Nothobranchius furzeri: one gene and its partner. The protein of the gene in region 1 interacts with the protein of each later gene in a pairwise test. Links are inferred from orthologs where the notes say so. Each region holds a gene or a part of one and is shown on either strand. Other genes may lie near its edges.

Region 1 (11,065 bases):
GCGGCTGCAGTGCTACTGTACGTCTGCTTAAGTGAATAAAACTACTAAAGAAGTCCTACTAAAGCTCGCCAGGTAGTGTGTGATGAAGCTCCTCGCTAATGTTTAGCCTTTGTGGGTTTTTGGAGTTTAAAACAAGGAGAAGTTTGGTTTGGTTTGCTGCGCAATGCGCCGACTAGCACTGAGTCACCAGAGCTACGAGAATAGCAACTGGTAGTGGTTTAAGTATCTAGTTTACCGGAAACAGAGACTTACTGCGGGTAACTCGCCTATCGCATGTCTCTGTTTTGTAGCTGTTATCCCAGCAGGTGTGCAGGTGATGGGGAGAGTGAGGAGCAGTCAGACCCCCATCATCCGTCACAGCTGAGGATGGAGAAGGACCACAGCGAGAGGCAAGACTTCCGGTAGGATGCTCCCTCCGTGTCTAACACGGAATGAAGTACTCGAACCTTTATTTTACTGTTTTTGTGATTTAGGATCCAGGGACAGAGCTACAGGTAGAAATAAGGGTTTATAAGACCGACCAGCTATCGCCCAATTTCTCATTAATGTTGATCTCAAAATAATTTGTAAAGCCCTGGCAAAAAGATTAGAGAAGGCAACCCCTTCATAATACACCCTGACCAAACTGGTTTCATCAAGGGTAGACAGTCATCCACTAACTCACGATTACTTAACCCTTTAGGCGCTATAGTTTTTTCAGTAAAATATGAAATTTTTATATCACTGTCTGTGAAGGTTCTCAGTCATCCAGGTCATTGTAGTCTAAAGCTTGGTTTATGCTTGATGCGTTCACTTTCCGCTTGGTGATGCGGCTCGCGGATGGAACGCGCTTCACAACTCGCAGCGTTTATGGTTCGTGCGGCTCGTCTCTGCGGCGAGCCAATATTCTCCCAAACTGTAGGGGGCAGCATGGAGCTCTACGGCATGCATCCAACACTACACCATAGTAGAAGTAGAAATGACTGTTTACAACATGGCATTCCAGCATTTTTAACAGCGTCCTCGTCTTTTCCGACAGTGCGAGCTATTTCTCTCCAAGAATTATTAACAACATGTTGATCACGGTGATCTCTGAGAGCTGAATCATACAAATGTCTGTATTTACCAACCTCTGCCATACTAGTTCTTGCCAGTCCGCCATGTTTTTCCGCGTCCGTCCGTCCGCGTGGTTAGAAATTTTCCGAGGTGCGCGTTGCGGAAATCTTGGGCCGTGCGGAGACGCGGTGGAGGGGCGTGGTTGTTAAAATGACGCAACTTTTCCACGCGGAGCCGTGCGGACCTCGCGGACGCGTCAAGCATAAACCAACCTTAAGGAGCTTTGAAAGAAAAGCGTCTGGACTTCTTTGAGTTGCTTGAAGACGTTTCACCTCTCATCCGAGAGGCTTCTTCAGTTCTAAGGTCAAATGGTGGAGAGTCCCAGATTTAATCCCAGTGGGAGTTTCCCCCCGAAGAGGGAACAAAAGACCCCCTGATGATCTTCTACATAAACACATGAGCCCAGGTGTGAGGGTGGGTGTGGGTCCTATTCAGCCAGAGTTTCGGGTGAGCTCATTGTGAAGCCTGGCCCCACCCTATCATGTGAATTCCTGAGGTCAGATGGCCCAGGATATGCGTGGGCGTTGAGGCATCTGGGAAGGGATCTCAAAACTGGATTATAGATGGCAGACAGTTGGTGTCGTAAACCACCGCCTCTGTTCAAAGATGGTTGCTCACAGTGGACATAAATGGCTTCCTTTACTCCTCTTTCAAACCATCTGTCCTCTCTGTCCAAAATGTGAACGTTGGCATCCTCGAAAGAGTGACCTTTGTCCTTTAGATGCAAATGAACTGCCGAGTCCTGTCCCGTGGAGGTGGCTCTTCTATGTTGTGCCATGCGCTTGTGAAGTGGCTGTTTGGTTTCTCCGATGTAGAGGTCTGGGCATTCCTCGCTGCACTGTACAGCATACACCACATTGTTCAGTTTGTGTTTAGGAGTTTTGTCTTTCGGGTGAACCAGGTTCTGTCTGAGTGTGTTGCTGGGCCTGAAGTACACTGGTATGTTGTGTTTGGAGAAAACCCTCCTGAGTTTCTCTGATACACCGGCTACATAGGGGATGACCAGGTTGTTGCGTCTGTCTTTCTTATCCTCCCTCGCTGGTGTCTGGTCTTCTTTTCTGTGCATCTTTGCTGACTTTATAAACGCCCAATTAGGATAGCCACATGTTTTAAGTGATTCCTTTATATGTGTGTGTTCCTTCTTTTTCCCTTCCGGCTAGGGATGCACCGATGGATCGGCATTTGATCCCAATCGGCCGATAGCGCCCCTATCGGTTTTGAGTGGAGTTTTCAAAATAGATCAAAGCAGACCGATCAGGTAGGGTTGTCACGGTAACCGGTGTAGCGTTAAACCCCGGTAAAAAAAAAAGTTGACAATAATAATAACCGTCTTGTTTTTAAAGAACTATATTATCTTGGTGGGATTACTGTGGCTGCGGTGTAGGCGCGGTGACCCTTACCAGCCACCGTATCATCTGCTGAAGTTGCCGGCGGCACATGCGCGCTTTGTTGTTTACAACCAAAACTTTCTTGAAGCTAAAGCTGAAATAATGGCCAAAGGAGGAGACGGCAGCGCTCAGGACATTTGTTATCCCTCAAAGAAGACAAAGTGGGAAGTACGGGCATCTTTTGGATATGTGAAGAATGCCGAGGGACAGTTGATAGAAGACGGCTATCCTGTTTGCAGCACGTGCAGAAAAAGTGTCTGTGAAAGGCAGCAACGCTTCAAATCTCATGACACATCTGCGTGACCATCACCCACAACTCTACAGTCAACGCAAGGCAAGCTAACGTTAGCGTTTTAGCTAAAATGCGTGATCCGAGGATTTGGGTTGAGGGACAAGGGTTAACCCTAACCCTAACCCTAACCCTAAAATAAAAAGAAATAAGGGTTTATAATGGGTTCTTGTTGAGACCAAGACAGAACCTCAGGTTGTTTGTTTATTGAGCCGTTTGTGAATTATTTGTCAGTTTCTCTTTAAAGGACACAAACCACAGCTGCGCTTCACAAACTGTATCTCATTTTTGTCAGGATCTACAACCCTAGTGAGGATAACACAGTTTAGGTAGTGGATGGATGGACAACACTATTTCTTCTCAGCAACTTGAGAACAGTGGACCAGTCCGTCTCCTTTGCTGTATTCATCAGTAACCGAGTCACCAGCTCAGCAGTTTTTCTTCTTTGGATCACCTGAACGCATCAGAAGCTTTAACTCATCTGTCTGAGCCAAAGTAGTAGCAGATCTGTGTGTATTTAGATTTAGTTTACATATACATGTATTTCTGAACAGTCACCTGTTTGTCTGATCGTAAAACACGCTTTACATCGTCCGCATTTGTCAGAGGTTAGGGTTAGGGTTAAAGGTCCCTTCCTGTAAGCTCCTGAACAACCTGATTATCTGCCTGTGGAGCTGAATGTGCTGCTGGACTGAACACAGTGCTGCGTTTACCAGACTGCTGCATTCTAGCTGGTGGATTATGTTGCTTAACGGTGCAGCTCTGAATGGGATTTGCCCTAGAAGAACAAAGTCTTGCTGTTCAGGCTGAAGAAAGAGCAGTTATGAGCTCAGCAGCTCACCCGGGACAGAGAGTCCTTTACGTTCACACGAGGAAGGTATTTTCTCAACTTTTAACCGGCCTATTGTTGAGATGTTTCACAAGCAGATTAGAAGCTATTTTAGTACACGAGTCCAAGTTTCCCAGTTGCTCTGAAACTCTGCCTCCCGAACCCCAGAGCCTGGACTCTCGTCTCCTCATTCAGCCAGCTGGTTCCACACGGGAAAGGATTACCGCGCCTCAGCTTCTTGTTTTATTTGCGATCTCTAGCGCATTCATAAACTAATGGTCTCTTCAGGGCTGTGGTATTCAAGCAGGCAGCTGAACCCAGTGGAGGTGACACCCTGAGCTGGTATGGATGATGCCAGGTGGCTGTTGGGTTCTGTTGGACGCGTCCGCAGCAACACCCTTTCATCCGATGCCACACAGTCAACAGGAAGTAAACTGGCTCTGTGCCATCAGCTCAGCCAGCTCATGACCTGTGTGGACGATCTGGACCCCAAAACTGAGCTGCATGAGAAAATGGTCAGGACCCTGGACAGCGCCTTCCTGGTCTGCTCGAGACGAGCCAACAAGCCAAAGAAGGACCGACTCAGGTGGAGGATGCTGCAGCTTCTCACTCGCCTTTCTGCTGAATCTAGAATCGGTCTCCTTCTGGACAGTGTCTGTGTCCAGACTGGTCCTATCACACTGTGATCAAACCTCGTAATTGCCTTCTGGAGCCTTCCAGTGGACGTGACTCTTTAGTCTGTTGTTCATTAGTCTAACGGATGTGGGTTTGAGTCTGAGCTGCATGTTACAGCGTTGTCGCCCAGGAGGGATTTTCTTGTTATTGTTTTTTCTGAAGTGGAAGAGGCTTTGGTTCCAAAGCTAACGCAGCAACAAATGTGCTGCACATGGGTTGTAACCATGTGACTATGGCTGTGTAATATACATATGTGCACATATCATGGACGTTTATTATCCTGTCGTATGAAACAGAACAACCCTGCTGCAGTAACTCTTGTAGGTGCTCTTAACAACCAGAGAAATGAGGTGTTTACCTGAAAGCAGGTGGCGGTCAGGAAGGAAGACCAGCAGTATCTAGCTGGTATATTTTCAGTTGATTCATCTGAGCTTTTCCAGCTTAACCCCCCCCCCCCCCCCCCCCCTGTCTCACAGGCTTCACCTAGTGACGTGGAACGTGGCCACAGCTGATCCTCCAGAAGATGTGGCTGCTCTTCTTCACCTGAATTCACCCAAAAGAGCCGACCTCTACGTCATCGGGTACAGACGAGTTGTTTTTTATCTCCAGAAGTGTCTCCTGCATCAGCGACTGGCCTGACGGTCAGATGTGTGTTCAGTCTGCAGGAGGTCTACTCAGGACTGCTGAGGTTTGTGTCTGATATGATGTTCGATGACCCGTGGACTCACCGGTTGATGTCCACCTTAGCTCCGCTGAATTATGTAAAGGTACGGACACACACCATCTCACGATCAGTGTGTGTTTCTGTGTGTGTCGTCTCAGGTGTGCATCTGTGTTTCAGGTATCTTCTATCAGAATGCAGGGTTTGGTGCTGCTCTGCTTCTCTAAACTGGAGCATGTCCCCTTCATCAGAGACATCCAGACCACCTACACACGCACAGGCATCTTTGGCTACTGGGTGAGCAGAACACACACACACGAGAGGGAGAGAGAGAGATCAACCTTCTTTCTGCTCAAGGATTTTACCTTTCAAGGTCAACCTCAGGCGTCGTTTTCGAGCAGATTGCCCTCTGTCATTATTTATTAAATTAAAACCAAACCAATTAGTAAAAGCTGGTCCCTCTGAAGATCCGCGGCTGCTGATCAGACGTGCGGATTATGAGTTCCTCCCTCAGGCACAGAAGCAGGAGGTGTTTTAATCAAAAGCTGTGTGTGAGTTGGTCTGTATGCTAACAGGACGTAGCTTAGCCTAAGAGCTGACGACAGCATTGCAGAGTGTGTCTCTTGTTTGGTTTTCAGGGTAACAAAGGTGGCGTGTCTATCCGCCTGTCCCTTTATGGTCACATGGTCTGCTTCCTCAACTGCCACCTGACGGCTCACATGAACTATGCCACAGAAAGAGTGGATGAGTTTGAGTACATCATGGACTCGCAGACCTTTGACTGTAAGAAGGCGTCGAGAATATCTGATCACAGGTGAGAGCACGCACAAGACTCAGACTGTTCTGTATGGATGTTGGAGTAAAAGCTGGAACGTCCGCCCGTTCTGGTCAGTCGTTTGGAATGCCGTAGCTGTCCTGCTGCTCGATCTGAAGGACTCTGACATTCCCTGGCCAGCTGAGAGGGAAGAGCTGGAAGACTTACCTAACTGGAATAATGAAGTGAACGCTGTTTAGTAGGTTTAATTGGGATGTTTTGCTTCCTAAAGCACCTTGAGCCCCATGAGATGTCTAAGCTGCAGCTGTTCCACACCTGCTTAGACTCTATCAAAGCCTGGATGGTGGGAGCTTTCTTCAGCTGAATGAAGATAAGACTGAGATCCTCATGTGTGCCCCAGACAAGCTGGTTCCCAAAGTCAGAGACTCTCTTGGTCAGCTTGCTTCTCACACCAAACCTTCTGTCAGGAATCTTGGCGTGACCTTTGACCCAGCTCTCACCCTGGATTCTCATGTCAGTTCTCTTGTTGGCTCTTCCTTCTTCCATCTCAGGAACGTTGCTAAGCTGAGTCCCATTCTGTCCCGCTCTGAACTTGAGACAGTTCTCCACACCTTCATCTCCTCACGCTTAGACTACTGTAACTCTCTTTTCACGTGTCTGAGCAGAACCTCCCTGAACCGTCTACAGGTGGTTCAGAACGCCTGTGCTCGGCTTCTGACCAAGTCCTCCAAACACACCCACATCACCCCGCTTCTCCTCCAGCTTCACTGGCTGCCAGTCAACTTCAGGGTTCATTTCAAGATCCTGGTTCTGGTCTATAGGGCCTTACATGGACAAGCACCATCTTACATTGGTGATCTTCTCAGTCCCTACACCCCCAGCAGGTCCCTGAGGTCCAGTGATCAAAGCCTACTGGTTGTGCAGCACCAGGCTAAAGGTCAAAGGTGACAGATCATCTGCTGCTGTGGCCCCCAGACTCTGGACCTCTCTCCCCCTGAGCCTGAGATCAGTGGACTCAGTGGTCTCCTTTAAAAATCAGCTGAAGACTCACTTGTTCAAGCTGGCTTTGTTTTGACCTTCTTCACCTCTCTCTCTTTATTCTGCTCTCCCCACCTATTCCACCTTCCTCAGGATCCACTGATTTCCCTCTTTCCTGTTCACTCTCTCTCTTTCTTTACATTTTTAATCACAATTGTCTATTTTTGCTCATTTTAAATATATTTTAACCATTTTCTAAATTCTTTTTATATTTTTACATTTGTTGTTTTTGTGAAGCGCCTCGTGATTTTTATCTTGAGAGACGCCATAGACATGATATTTTCTTCTTCTTCTTGAGATGACTTGTGTTGTGAATTGGTGCTGAAGTTGAACTGAACTCCACCTGAGGCAGAAGCTCATTTCCATCCTTTTCCGTTTGGTTGTGCCCATCTCACATCTTTGTTCAGTTCGTTTAAAAGAAACTTTTTTTAATCCTTTCATCCTTCTCTCGTCTTTGTGTCCAGACTGGTGTTCTGGTTTGGAGATCTGAACTTCAGGATACAAGATCATGGCATGCACTTTGTCCGCTCCTGCATCAACAAGCAGACCTACAGCCTGCTGTGGAGCAATGACCAGGTTTGACCTCTGGAGTGTTTTTGTTAGTGGAGGAATGCTGGTGTCCTTCATCAACGCTGATTGATGAACATGAGAAAGTGTGCTTGATGACATTTTCAGTTGATCATGTTGAAGAAGAAAGAAGCGTTGCTGCAGGACTTTGAGGAAGGACCGCTGGACTTCCAGCCCACGTACAAGTTTGACTTGAACTCTGACACCTATGACAGCAGGTAAGAGTTGGAATCTTTTTGGGAATCCGAGTCTTTTAATTCTGTTTCTCTGAGTTTATTTATGTTTTCACCTGTTTTAACTCCACAGCCTCTACAGGACATGGTTTGACTTGTAGTAAGACCAGAAATACATTCATCTCCCTTAACATGAGCATCCAGATTTGTTTTACCTAACAAGACTTCAGCATGTGCATTTCCTCCTCCTCGGCTAACAGAAGTCTCTGATGGCGTTAGCGTGAAGCCTTAGTTCTGCTTCTGCTTCTAAAACAGGATTCTGGTAGCATGCTAAAAACTAAAAGGACAAGCAGGCAGGATTAACAGCCAGTCTTCAGCTTGGCTTTGCCCACGAAGACTAAAATGCTCGTCTACAGACTGGCAGCTAACGGGTGTCCTACAGCTGGTGAAGGTGTCCATTAGAGTCCGGGGACCCTACATAAAATATGGGTGTTCATATGTCCTATGTACTAAAGCTGCAATGGCAAATCAGCAAAACAAGCTAGCTTTTAAACGAGGTCACAGAACACTCACTCCTCCCATCGGCTATAAAACCCTTGGCTGTGTTCGCCTGAAATTAGAACCTGCATTTCCAGAGGAAACGAGGTGGCGCTAACACCAGTCGCCGTTTTCGATGCCCGCAGTTTCTCTGGTAGTTTGTCCTAAAGTTGAAGTGGTAGCAACCACTCGGCCGCTGTTATTGAGTGGAGAACCTCTCACACCGGTGGTGTTGCCAAATACATGAGTGTGTGATGAGTGGAGGACCAGGGGAGATGTGGTTCGGAGAGACCCACGACCAGACGGTCCAATCGTTGCTTTTTTGACAGAGCTGTGTTATTGGCTGACGGTTGTAGACAAATGCGAGGGAACCACTTCTCTCATTTTTTTGTGTTTTTTAAAGCTCCACAGTAAATGTATAGCTGTGCTATTTTAGAACATTGTTAAGAGACATGAACGCATGTTGCTGCTTCCTGAGTGTTTTTGTACAAATGTAATTGTACAACTCTGAGAACTTCCTTCAGCAAGTCCAACGGCATTAACAGGTTCTGGTTCTTGTATCAGGATTTTACCGGGGGCGTTTTTTAACTGCCACTAGGGGTCACTGTTTCATCATAATCTGAAATGACCATTTCCACATCTAGGTGTAGCACAACTGAACATCTGTTAGCAGCTGCTGCTCCTGTGATTTATACAACCTGACTTTGATCATATTAAACAGACAACATTAAAGGAAGTAGTAAGTAAATGTTATTTCTACAGCACTTATCACAGACAGAGAATCACAAAGTGCTTCACATAGATCAAAACAAAATAAAATCAAAATGCTCTAGAAACAGAATTAGATTAACATCAGAAAAAATAAAGACATAACATCATAAAATTTCATAAACAGATGAAAGATTAAAAATTTGAGCTAAAAATAAGAAAATAAAAGGTTTAGGTAAAAGCAGCTTTAAATAAAAGGGTCTTTAGCTGTTTTTTTAAAAGTGTCCAGACTGTCAACGCTGCGTACGGATAAAGGAAGATCGTTACAGAGTCGGGGCAAAACAGTCTGGAAGGAGCGACCACCTCGACTTTTATATCTGGTCTTTGGAACTTCTAGAAGGTTCTGGTGTGTGGACCTGAGGGCTCGGGTTGGAGCATAAGGCTTTAACAGTTCAGTAATGTAGGGAGGAGCTCGACCACGTAGAGCCCTGAAAGGTCTAGTCAGGACTCTAAAACGGGTAACCAGTGCAGAGACATCAGAATAGGAGTGATGTGAGTTCTTCTGTTTGCTCCAGTTAGGAGCCTCGCTGCAGAGTTCTGGACCAACTGAAGGCGGTCAAGGACTTTTTTGTTAAAACGTGAAGAGTGTGTTACAGTCATCTAGACGGGAGGATATAAAGGCATGGAGAACCATTTCAGGTTCATGTTTTGACACCAACCTTCACAGTTTGGAGATATTTCTTAAATGATATAAACTGTTTTGGACCAATGTTGTTGAGTGACCTTCAAGAGACATACAATCTTGTAGCTCAGACAGTTTGTAGAACTCAGAATCCTTAAAGGAGCAGTACAGCTGAATGTCATCTGCATATAGGTGATAAGAGACATTATGAAAAGAATCAAGTATCTGTCCAAGAGGGTGTGTGTACAGCAGAAACAACAGTGGACCCAAAACAGAGCCTTGGGGTACCCCACAGAACAGATGGGTAGAATCTGACATGATCTGGTTTCTACAGACACGGTAACTTCTGTTAGAAAGGTACGATCTAAACCAGTCTAGAACAGTTCCAGAGATCCCCACCGAGTCACCAAGTCTGTTAATGAAGGTGTTGTGATCAACAGAGTCAAAAGCTGCAGAAAGAACTAACAGTACTAACACTGCGAACTCCCCGTTGTCTGCAGCCATCATGATGTCACTGGAAACTTTAAGCAAAGCTGTTTCTGTTGAACACTTTTTACCAAAACCAGACTGGATTTATCAGAACTGTTGTGTAGTTCCAGAAAAGTAATCAGCTGATCTGCCACAACCTTTTCCAATATTTTGGAGATAAAGGGTCATTTAGAAATGGGTCTGTCATTTTTAGGCTGAGATGAGTCCAAACTTGTTTCTTTAAGGATGGGTTCAATAACTGCATGTTTGAAAACAGATGCTACAGAGCCAGATTGTTGGGATAAATGAATAAAATCTACAGTGCATGGGCCAGTTTAGTCAAACATCCAGATTAACAAGGTAGCAGGAATGAAACCAGCAGGGCATGAGGTTGGTTTCATGTGTTTCTGAATGAGGCAAAAACCTGGAAATCTACAGGAGTAAAGACAGACCATGGTTGAGAGGGAGGGGGTTAGATAGGGGTGATATTTCTGATTTTATTCTGAAAGAATGCTAGAAATTTGTTAGTCAGACCTTGTGTAAACTGGCATAAGAGGGGCGAGAGGAGAAACAATCTGGTTTATGGTGTCAAACAGAACTTTAGAGTTATTTTTGTTTACAGCAATCAGCTGAGCAAAGTAAGCGGCCCTGGAAGTTTTCACCGTCTCATTCAGGGATATTATCAGTTCTTTAAAGTGCAGCCCGTGACTTTCTAATCTAGTTGACTTCCATCGTCTCTCGGCTTTGCGGCGTGCCCTTCCTTAAATTCAATTCAATTCAGAGATACTTTATTAATCCCAGAGGGAAATTAGAGTTTCAGTACACACAATTCAGAGATCAGACATACGTACAGGCAAAGACACATGACAAGAACTGGTGACTGTGGTCATTCGCAACCCTGAGTCGCGCTACCTTAATAGAGATCAGAGGGGTTTACATATGAGGATTGGGTCAGGTGGAGGGAAAAAAAGGCACTTCGGAGTTACCCTCCACAGGGAGGGCAGCTTTGCTCTGCAAGAAACACCAGAAATGCAACAGACTTCAGACATTACACAACATAAGTGTCCACTAGGTGGGGTGGTGGGTTTGGGACTCTCCACACGTCAGTGCGTGCAGCCGCGATGAGCAGCGCTCGTCACCTCCGTTTGGACAGGGGTGGGAGGTCGTTGGGTTAGAGAGC
Region 2 (10,784 bases), on another chromosome or scaffold:
TCCCGAAGAACGGAGCTGATAACATTGTCCTGCCACAAGATCACATTTACAGCAGTAATTATGAGTCAGGAACCCAGAAAGCAGCTGTTTCACAATACTTCTGTTTTCCAGCTGTGTGAAAGGTCTCCACCTGAACATGTGCATGTCAACACGGGGGTTCAAAGTGCTGCTGTCTTTGATCATCGGCCCCTATCTGCCCTTCCTGGTGGGCTTTAGTCGGGAAGATGTTCGCCGGCTGTTCCCTTTCTTTGAGAAGAATGTCTGGGAAGTACTGAGGGAGAGTGGCTACCTTCACATTCAGGCCACCAAGCCAGATACTGCAGGTGAGGCTGTGAGACGGGCTCAAGACGACTTTTCTTATTTTCACAATTTAAAGGTGGGGCAGATGTTTGTGGAGCTTTTTTGCCATAATTGCTCTTCACATATTGACTTTAATCGCTTCTGAAACGTACAATCCTGGAAAAACCTCAACCAATCACTGTGACTGTCCCGTTGTAAAGGATGGGATCGTGATCCATCAAACTGCCCTCTGCACACTCCTCTTTCAGCTTGGAGCTCACGGACAGGAAAAGAAGCCAGGGCCGGGCTAGCTAGTGTGTCGAGTGGAAGTTTCCATTCAGGTTACAGTTCAGTTTAGTCTGCTTCTGCTGAGAAAGATTCAGGTGACAGGCTCGTCTGAGCGCAGCCTGTCCCGTCGACTGGCGGAGCCGTCGGTCACTTACCTCGGCTACGAGCACGCATTAAAAGCCGGCATGACAAAACAAAAGAGCGATTGGGAGGAGGATGTGGAGTTTTCCCAGATTCTTGGTGATAGTTTGCTGCAATGAAGCTAAAACTGTCACCATAAAAACTCCCCATTATGTTAGCCATCATACGTACTTGTTATATAGTTATGTAGGCGCCATATTAGAAATATGGCAGAAAAGGAGCCAATAGCAGTTCAAAAACATACAACTGATTCCTCAGGAACAAGTATGTGTGTTGCTTTGTCCTAAAGGCTCAGCTTAGAGGAAACACCTGAGGATGTTGGACCTTTAGAATTGTTTATTTTTAAAGTTGTTGCTTGACTGGCAAGAAAAACATCCTCATATCCGACCTACGAGTGATTTCCTTCTGTGTTTGCAGGCTGTGGGCTAAACGACTCCCCCGTGGGCTTGGCAGCCTACATTCTGGAGAAGTTTTCCACCTGGACTAAAAAGACGAACAGAGACCTGGTTGATGGTGGGCTGGAGAGGTACTAAAGATAGACATGCTTTAGTCAGTTGCTGCCCTCTGTTATGAACTAGAAATGTCTTTTTTGTACAGAAAGTTCAGCCTGGATGACCTTTTGACAAACGTCATGATCTACTGGACCACAGGCTCCATCGTCTCCTCCATGCGCTTCTACAAAGAGAACTTTAAGACCAACCCAGAGAGCCGAATCGATGCAAAGTAGGAGACCAAATGCTCACATCAATTTTAATCTCATTTTATAATTTCTCTAACGATCCCACCTTTTGCTTCAGGACGGGAATATTTGTGCCCACCGGTCTGGCCGCGTTCCCTCAGGAGCTGATGCACTGCCCCAAGTCGTGGGCACAGATTAGGTATCGAAACATCTGTTCCTACACGTTCATGCCAGCAGGTGGCCACTTTGCCGCCTTCGAAGAGCCCCGGCTGCTTGCGGATGACATTTTCCAGTTTGTTAAAAAAGTAGAGAAGCTCTGAAGACTTAAGCGTACTCCCGGTTTCATGCAGGTGTTTTAGTATTTTATTATACCTGATAGTCTGTACACCACATACACATCTTTTTTGTTCCTTTCCACGCCGCGAGTCTTATCGCTTGATTTACCACATTATTGCAAAGATGTAAACATGAACCAGACCTCGGCTCACCACTGTTCCCTTATGACTGAGGAAAGCTTTGTAATTGTTCAAGTTCTGTTCAGTAAAGGTATATTGCACTGACGTTTGTGTTGCTGCTCTTTTTCTACACCAGAAAAGTAATTCTCTAGAAATATAAACACAATCGCCCACCAGTCATGCCTCTTTAGGAAGCTTTCGCTCTGCATCAGAAGCTTTAAAAGGTAAGACACCACGACGGTCTGATGTAGATCTGCGTGACTTGAAACAGACAGAAAACGCACATGCACAGCTAAGTTTAATACTTAATTTGAACGCCCAATAAATTTGACCAGATTACACTTCTGGAGCGGTGATCCAAGATCAGACAACACACTGCTTAACTTTAAGGGTCGGTTGCTAAGCCCTTAATGGTCATTGGTGCTTGGAACCACACGTAATCCTGCCAGTCTGATCCGTCTGCCTTTAGCTTCTTACAGGCGCCGGGGTCAGTAGACAGGGCAATCACTTGCTTTTTTACCCGCGTTGGGACTTTAAACTGCATCTTAGGGCGGAACCAGTCCACACCACAATCCCTGTGGGCCAGCGCCAACACTGTGGTGGGCATTAAGCGAACGGGTTTGGTGTCGGACAAAAGGTCGGCGACAAAAAGAGTGCGGAACAGTTGCCTTAAGCATGACGACACTCGTAGAGGCTGACTTCCATCGGCCAGTACCAGGGCCTCCATGTTGATCTCGTATATCTCCTTGGGGAGGATGACCGAGCTGCCCATCAGCAGTAAAACACGGGGGATCCTGCTCAAGGAAAACAGCACCTCCAGTCGCTGCAGCACCTCCTCCATCTCCTGGAGAGTCTGATGGCATTTACGCCGGTCCTTATTGGCAGACTGTGCGAGCCTCCGACTCACTGCATCTTTATCCTGGGAAGCAGAACGTCCCAAGCACTGTTGGTTAATCTCAAATCTACAATAAATTCACCTGACAGTGAGACATTACATTTATGTATTACCTGTGCCGTAGTATGCAGCTTCTTCTGGGAATAGACCAGCTGGTCGTATGTCATGGGTAGCTGTTGTCTCTGATAGAGAATGCATTTGAGGATTTCGCTGACGAAACGATAGCAGCTGTTCTGAGTTACGGCTCCAGGGAAGGCCACGTCCACACAGCCTTCTTCCCGTGCTCGTCTCACCACCTCGGCATCATTTTCCTCTGTGTTAACTTGCTGATTGTTGGCAGTCTGATCGAAATCCGGCTCAGAAGGGTCCTCTTGTGCATTATCTGTCCAGAACCAGAATAAAGTTATTACAGAGCGTAATGGACCCGTCACGGTCAACGTTAATGAAATGTATCAGAGCCATTATTCAGATAAACCTGATGAGCTCACTCGTCTCAAAAACTAACATGAGGAGTGAAATCAGGCTGTGGAGGAAGATTACTTTTGATTCTAATCAGATCAAATCACTTACAGAGTCGCATCTTATTGAGATTTATGAGACCTGTGCTTCAGCAGGACTCAAATCTTTTAAATCACACAATCACAAGACCCAACACACCACCACATTGTGCTGACTCATCTCCACTAAGGGAGTTGATCTTAAATGCTGAACTCTTTCTGCAACCAGTGTCAGAAATGTGTACGAGTGTCCTTCCTTTAACTTACTCCAGTCAGGAGGAGCAGAGTCATGCAGCGGGACACCTTTAAACCCCACAGGAAGTGCTGTGTCAGCCATGAAAAAGGAGTTACATCAATGTGACAGATTTCAAAAGAATCTGCATGAGCAATTTTCAATCCTCTTTGTGGCTTTTGAGTCACAAATGTTTCCAAATGCGATTCAAGGAAAAATGGTGCAAGATGTTTGTTTTTGCTACTAAAAAGTCAAGATGAATATGCAAATGTTAACATTTAACAAGTCACATTTAACTGAGTTTTGCAATTGTGGTTTGCAATGCACGTGGCAATTTTTTCCTAAATAAAATGTTGAACTGCATCACATGACACAATTAAAAATCTGATATTTAATTCTTAGTAAAAAATGTGCAAAAAAGTTTTTTAGATTTGAAAACTGACCATCTGTTGGTAAATATCCTTACAATTTTTGGCATCTTTAAAAGTAAACCAGGAATCTAAAAACCACATTTTAGCAAAAACAACATCTTACAATAAATGCATTATTTATTTCTTCATTTAAATAATTCCAAAGTTTACATAAAAGGAAAACTAGGTCCACTAATTCTTGATGTTGACTCTTTTCTCTAGTTTTATTTTTAACATTTAGGTAACCAATAATGAAAAGAGCCTTAAATGAACATAAATGCGTCAGGTGTAACCACGCAGACTGATGGATGACACGTAAGCTGAGGTAATGCAAATTAAAGAGAAAGAACATTGCAAACACAGCTTAAGGGACTTTTGAGGTAAACATCTTATTTCAAATGAGACGATCCTTAAAAATAATCTAACTACAACAACCGTGCTGAAAATTCAACGGTTCTACTTGGTGCTTCTCATGTTGTAGTTTTAATATTTAACCCTAACCCTAACTGGTTTAGTGAAATAATCATACTTTAACAACTTGTATCTTTCTAAACATCTTGTTTTATGTTTCTCTTGTTCTGAAATTACCCGATCCATCTAGCCGTGATCACATGTATATTTTATTGGCGTTATTGGGCACATCTAATGTGGTCAGTTGCATTTAGTTTTGTCCACAAGCAATAATTTGAAATATTATGTTGACATCTGACATCATCAGGCGTTACCTACTGATCAAACTGACCGGCACAAGCTTATTTTAAGTTGATCAGGAAACAGTTTGGGTATGAAACCAAATATAGCTGCACATTAGCCTAAACGGATCAAAAGCAGGAAAGTAAGCTAACTCTATGCTACCTGCCTTGAGACGTGGTTGTGGGAACAGCAGCATTTTCTTTGGCTTCAGTAGAACTCCCTCTGCGTTGTTCTGGACACTCTTCTCTTATTTTACCATCATTTTTCGTCTCTGAACATGTGTCGCTGGCATCAGACGGGAGTCGTTCAGCTCTTCCCTCTGGCTGGCTCCATGAACTGGAGACGTTGGAGACACTTTCCGCACTGCCGCCTAAAGGCGTTATTTCGGGTTCTCCATCAACGCTAACATCCTTCTGTGGTGAAAACGAGAGCCGTCCCTTTATCCCGCCACCCGTGGTGTCAACAGCGGTCTCCGTTTCTGTGGCCGCCGCCGAGACTGATGTAGGTTTTGAACAAGTAGAATTATCTGCCATGTTTTATTTTTGAAAGTCCGCGCCGGTGTTTTCTCGCACTGCATCATGGGAAATCCAATAGATGTCGCATTCAAGCTACGTAGCACAAAATCGGAAAAAATAAGCTTCCCAACGCCACTCTGGTGTTCTTACAATAATTTAACTATTCTTGTTTCATTTATTTTACTTCTCAAGAAACGATTTATATCATCATCATATTTTGGGTTCACACAAAACGTTTGTTGTTATTTGACAGCCCTTCTGTTTCTGGTAGCAGCTGCAAGGACTTATAATGCCTTTTTAACCTATGAATTGTGAATGCAGGACATTTCAGATATTTGTTTTTTGCACACTACAGATTCAACCACGTGTAATATTACCAAACGACAGTTTCGTCAATTGGAAACCAAACGTTTTTGTTATAAGTAAATATTTATGAAGTGATGTATTGTCTGATCTTGCCCAAGGCACATTTAAACGGAGAACGTGCTTGAGACACCCTCTAGTGGACAGTTTATGCACTGCATCGACAACGTGAGGATCAGTTCCAGGTGTGATGATTAGATTAGGTGGTAACAAACAAGGACAAGGTTTGCTTAAAACTCTAGCAACGGGACGTTGGCTCTTCGTCTGTCTGGTTTGATTAATAATGTCTTCAGTTCAGGTCGCGGTGAGAGTGCGCCCTTTGAACAAAAGGTCAGTAGAACAGAGTGACTTATTATTTTAACAGGAAAACAGAAAACAAACTTTTGCACGGCTTGTTGCAGAGAAAAACAGTTGTCATCAAAGGTGATTGTGCATATGAAGGAGAACACCGCATCCATTCATAAGGTAGGCTAGACCGTCACAGAATGAATTCTACTTGAGTTCATTTGAGTGATTTTTTTTTTATTTCAGCCTTCTTCTTTACGTGGAGACAAGTTGAAGGACAGAGGCAAAATCTTTTCTTTTGACTTCTCTTTTGACTCAACTGACAGTAAAAGCTCCACGTTTGCTTCCCAGGAGAAGGTGCTGTCTGTGTTTCATCTGTTTAACTCTTATTTGCACCAGTGTTGAACCACTTCTTGCATTTTATTTCTATAAATGTGTAAAATGGATATTTTACACCTGTTTCAGATTTTCCAGGACTTGGGATCTGATGTAATAAAAGCAGCTTTTGAAGGTTTCAACGTCTGCTTGTTTGCATATGGCCAAACGGGCTCAGGGAAAACTTACACCATGATGGGACATAAGGTAAGTAAAATACTTGCAATATGCATGCTGAACACTGCAGCGTAACGGCAATATTTACGACTTCACAACAATCAGTGCTGTATGCATACCTCTTCTATTATACCTCCGTCTTTACTCTGCATGTGATGACCTCTTGCCACTTTGGACCCCAACTGAATGCTGCCTCATTAGACTAGCTTGTTCTTCCTCACTAGTCAGAATTTTTGATGAGTGCAGCAACACACACACACACACACACTGCACTAGGGATTTTACACTAGGAGGTTTCTGCTTGGGGGACTTGTGCAAGGTCATCAGCAGAGTTGCTGTCAACATCAGAGATAATTATATAACTTAATGCTTACTGTCTGTTACTTTGTAATTAAAAACAAGAGGACGTACTGCTCCGGCTGGGATTGCTTTTATGCTTCACTACCTCCACAGCTGATGAGCTGCTGTTGTTCAGCGGTCTGTGTGTGTGCTGAGTCGTGGTTATGGCATGGTGTAGACAACCAGATTAACTGAAGTATAATAGGATCGAAATGTAATTGTCATTTCAGTGCGAGCTTCGTCTATTTCAGCGGGTGTAAAGGCAGATGTCTTCTCAATTTTAGGTGGATAAAGGTTTAATTCCACGGATCTGTGAGGGCTTGTTCTTGGAGTTATCCAACAGAAGCAAAACTGAGACTGTCTCATTTCACACGGAGGTCAGGTAAGGCCGTATTATCGTTGCCTTCTGTTCAGCATTCGTTGCTTCTTCAAACCTGTTGTGGTGATCAGTTTCAGTGGATATTCAACACATTTATGGAAGGATCCGTCCATCCATTTTCGTCCGCTTACTCATGGTTGGGTCCCGGAGGAATTGGCCTAAGCAGGAGGCCCGGACCTCCCTCTCACCAGCCACTTGGATCAGCTCCTCTGGGGAAATCCCAAGACGTTCCCTGGCCACCTGAGGCATAGTTCCTCTAGCGTGTCCGAGTCTTCCTTTGGGTCTTCTCCCAGTAGAATGTGGCTGGAAAACTTCACCAGGAGGCCTCTTAACCAGATGGCCCAGCCACCTCAACTGGCTCCTCTCTGTGGAGGAGCAGCAGGTCTACTCCAAGCCCCTCCCGGATGACTGAGCTTCTCACCGCTCGTATCCACAATCTCGTTCTTTCAGTCACTACCCAAAGCTCGTGACCACATTCAGAGTGGGAACGTAGCTCGACCGGTAAATCAAGAGCTTAGTCTTCCGGCTCGGCTCTCTCCACCACAGCAGATCGGTACAACGCCCGCATCACTGCAGACGCCGCACCAATCCGCCTATCGATCTCCCGCTCCATCTTTCCCTCACTCGTGAACAAGACTCTAAAATACTTAAACTCCTCCACTTGAGGCAGGACCTCATCCCTGGCCTGGAGAAGGAATTCTACCCTTTTCCGACTTGTGGGCGGATGTGAAACGATAAATTTAATGTCCCATATTTAGTTTTGTACATAAAGAAACGATAAAACCCTCAGAATAGTGCAATGTTCACAAGAGGCATCAAATCAGTATTTATTTACTAAAATGACATATTTAATCGTAGCCAGAAGAATCAGACGTGATGAAGGCACGTTTGCCATACATGGAGAACTCTTCAGAGGTTTACCGGCCAGGATTACATGCAGCCTGTGCGCTGGGCCCAGACACATGGGCAGTCACATTTTTTAGCTGTTTAATGAAACTTTAACTATGTGGTTGTTTAATCTCCACCCTGTTCTAACATGACGCTAAATCAGAGCTGATCTGGACTGTTTGCCCTAAACGATCTGTGAACTTCTGAGAAAATCTGAAGATTTAACCTGTAAAGAGTTCAGCCCTCTGGACGAGGAAGAAAAAATGTTCATGCACAACACATCACTTACCGCACACAGCACCTGTTTCTACAGAGAAAACCAATTCATGATGCCGTCATCTCCCCCACACTTCAGCCCCATGAAATATTTACAGAACGCTGTGAAAAGGTAAATCTAAGACAAGGATGTCATTTCTGAAGCAAGACCTGAATCTTCAAATAAAAGGTAGACGGGAACATTTCACCAAGCTGGCTGAGACTGAACGGTGTAAAAGCAAGGCTGCCTGACCCATTACTACCACTACTACCACTACTGCTTTCCTAATTGTTCAGATAAAATTTTTTGACAAATTTGATGCCTTTGATAATTTAGTTCAGTGCTAAATAAGGTACTTTGTCTATATTGGCTTCATCTTTTAATAAAATTTAAACTATTTTAAGATGTTTAATACAAACATTGAATTGTCTTCAGTTTTATAAAAAAAGGGGGAAATTCAAATTAAAGTTGTTCCTTAAACTAATTTATTACGGCAAAAATCACCTCTTAGGTTAAAAGCTGGAATTTTTAAAGCAACACACATATTTACTAGGTCTCTAAGACCCGGTTTCCACATATGTGGACGTTGATGTCCTTCACTAAACTTTTTTTATTTTTAGAGGAACTTTATTGACTTAAAGAAAAAACATTTTAAAGCTTAAATTTTTTTCCAGACGTTTACAGCAACTTGGAGCGGCCACCCACACAAAATAAATTGGAGCGATATCACGTTCTAACATAGCTTTATAATTTTCACATTAGTACAATGTACTATCGCGTTCTAACAATATAATATTTATATTGTATAAATGTGATTATTATAATATTGGAACAATAAAGCAAATGTGATATTACTCCAATTTTATTTTGCATGGGTGGCCGCTCTACGCGGCTGCAGAAGTTTGTCAAAATTAAGATAAAAAAAACGTTTTTGCATGTTTATGAGAGTCGACTAATCTGTAATGCCTACAAGTGTTTTTTCTTAACGCACACCAAATACAAATTCGGGACTTGGGAGGTAAAATAAAACAAATGAACACCCATGCAAACGTTATTGCTTCTCCCAGACATTTGCAGGCTTATATTTTTATTTGTGGTATAATTTAAGCATGTACGTTTATTTATTTAATTTTCCTGATCTTTGTTTCCTAACATTCACAAAAAGTCAGTAAAAACCCTATTTTAATCCTGATTGAGTTCTCAACAGTGTTGGAAACATCCATAATGATGCATGCATGGCTACATCCACCAGATGCATTTCTTTGTTTACGCCGTTAATTCTTGCACGGTCCTAATGCCTAATTGTTTGATTCCTTTCATTGTTTCTGAATTTGTGACTCTGATTTAGTCACAGCACAAACCAACAATGGTTTTCACTGAACCTCGCTGCCAAGCCTATTATGCATGTAATTGTTTATTTGTTGCCAGAACAACCAACTTTCAAATTTGGCTTTAAAAAGTAACTTGTTTCCATTTGATGCTCCGCCATTCAGTCAGATTTGTGCCATTGTGTCCTTGTGTAAAACCTTGAATTAGTCTTTTTTATTATTTTTAAATTTATTTGTCTTCGCACCAGCTATCTGGAGATCTACAGCGAACGTGTTCACGACCTTCTGAAGAAGAAATCACCAAGCACTGATGGAGGGGGGTTGAAAGTGAGGGAGCACCCCTATGAAGGACCCTACGTAGAAAGTAACGTGTTATTTTTATCCTTTTTATTCTTAAATACGTTGTTGTAGAAAGTCTGAGGACAAAGATACTTTTGTAGATCTGTCGAAGCACGTGGTGCACAGCCATGGCGACGTGGAGGCTTTGATCAGTCTTGGCAACACCAATCGTACTGTAGCCAGCACAGGCATGAACGACTTCAGCAGCCGCTCGCACGCCATCTTCACCATCACCTTCACCCAGGTCAAACACGCAGTTTGTGTTGTTGCTTTGAACTAGTTTGTTAAACATGTGGCATAATCCCTCCTCATACCACAGGCATGGTTTGATGCAGAGTTGCCACGTGAGAAGCGGAGTAAAATCCACCTGGTGGACTTGGCGGGCAGTGAGAGAGCTGATGCCACCCACACCGCAGGCCCCAGGCTGAAGGAAGGAGCCAACATCAACAAGTCCCTGGTCACCTTGGGGAGTGTGATCTCAGCTCTTGGTAAAAGCAGCTACACACACAGTGACCTATTGGTGTTGGCTAGTGCTGATCATATCTTATTGTTCACGGATTGGGATTAAAGCCGTACTTCATTTTCTTGAGCCAGTATGTCCTAAAATAAACCTGTGCATGAAAGGCCACCCCCTGTTGCCAGAATATTCCACTTGCAACTTCAGAGTGGCCGGTTTGGTGTGTTGGACTACCTAGCGCTGCAGTCTGCTTCCAGCATGTTACTTGCATGTTTTAGATCACGAGCACAGCTGATTTGTTTAATTTAGTGCTGAATCACTCCTGTAGACACTAATGAAGGCTGGGGAGACATTTTAGCTGTTAGATTAAGGAGTTACGATGACTACTGCACGAGGAGATGAGACTTTTGCTTCTCCTAAATGGACTCTAGGGGGTGCTAAAAGCAAACAAAAATGCATTAGTTATTTAGTAGGGATGCACCAATACCGATATTGGGATCGGTGCCGGTAAAAG

What was found. The genes of interacting proteins can lie anywhere in the genome.
Region 2: the proteins of inpp5ka (region 1) and mad2l1bp interact in binary tests that used the Homo sapiens proteins (3 or more experiments, as listed by UniProt). The link is inferred for Nothobranchius furzeri from reciprocal best matches to the Homo sapiens genes INPP5K and MAD2L1BP.

What each region holds. Positions count from the first base shown.
Region 1 is NC_091753.1:62,181,499-62,192,563, reverse strand, and holds the start of inpp5ka (inositol polyphosphate 5-phosphatase Ka), read left to right. Parts: upstream 1-3,721; 5' UTR 3,722-3,945; coding exon 3,946-4,187; intron 4,188-4,752; coding exon 4,753-4,857; intron 4,858-4,934; coding exon 4,935-5,043; intron 5,044-5,117; coding exon 5,118-5,234; intron 5,235-5,575; coding exon 5,576-5,751; intron 5,752-7,214; coding exon 7,215-7,326; intron 7,327-7,425; coding exon 7,426-7,535; intron 7,536-7,623; coding exon 7,624-7,650; intron 7,651-11,065. UniProt on the Homo sapiens protein: Inositol 5-phosphatase which acts on inositol 1,4,5-trisphosphate, inositol 1,3,4,5-tetrakisphosphate, phosphatidylinositol 4,5-bisphosphate and phosphatidylinositol 3,4,5-trisphosphate.
Region 2 is NC_091752.1:315,141-325,924, forward strand, and holds mad2l1bp (MAD2L1-binding protein), read right to left. Parts: upstream 5,144-10,784; 5' UTR 5,103-5,143; coding exon 4,736-5,102; intron 3,120-4,735; coding exon 2,851-3,119; intron 2,762-2,850; coding exon 2,228-2,761; 3' UTR 2,125-2,227; downstream 1-2,124. Other genes in the region: ephx5 (epoxide hydrolase 1), read left to right, coding at 112-323, 1,126-1,234, 1,306-1,431, 1,506-1,707; uncharacterized protein kif16bb, read left to right, coding at 5,731-5,777, 5,849-5,912, 5,979-6,089, 6,198-6,314, 6,908-7,005, 9,723-9,838, 9,915-10,057, 10,133-10,301. UniProt on the Homo sapiens protein: May function to silence the spindle checkpoint and allow mitosis to proceed through anaphase by binding MAD2L1 after it has become dissociated from the MAD2L1-CDC20 complex.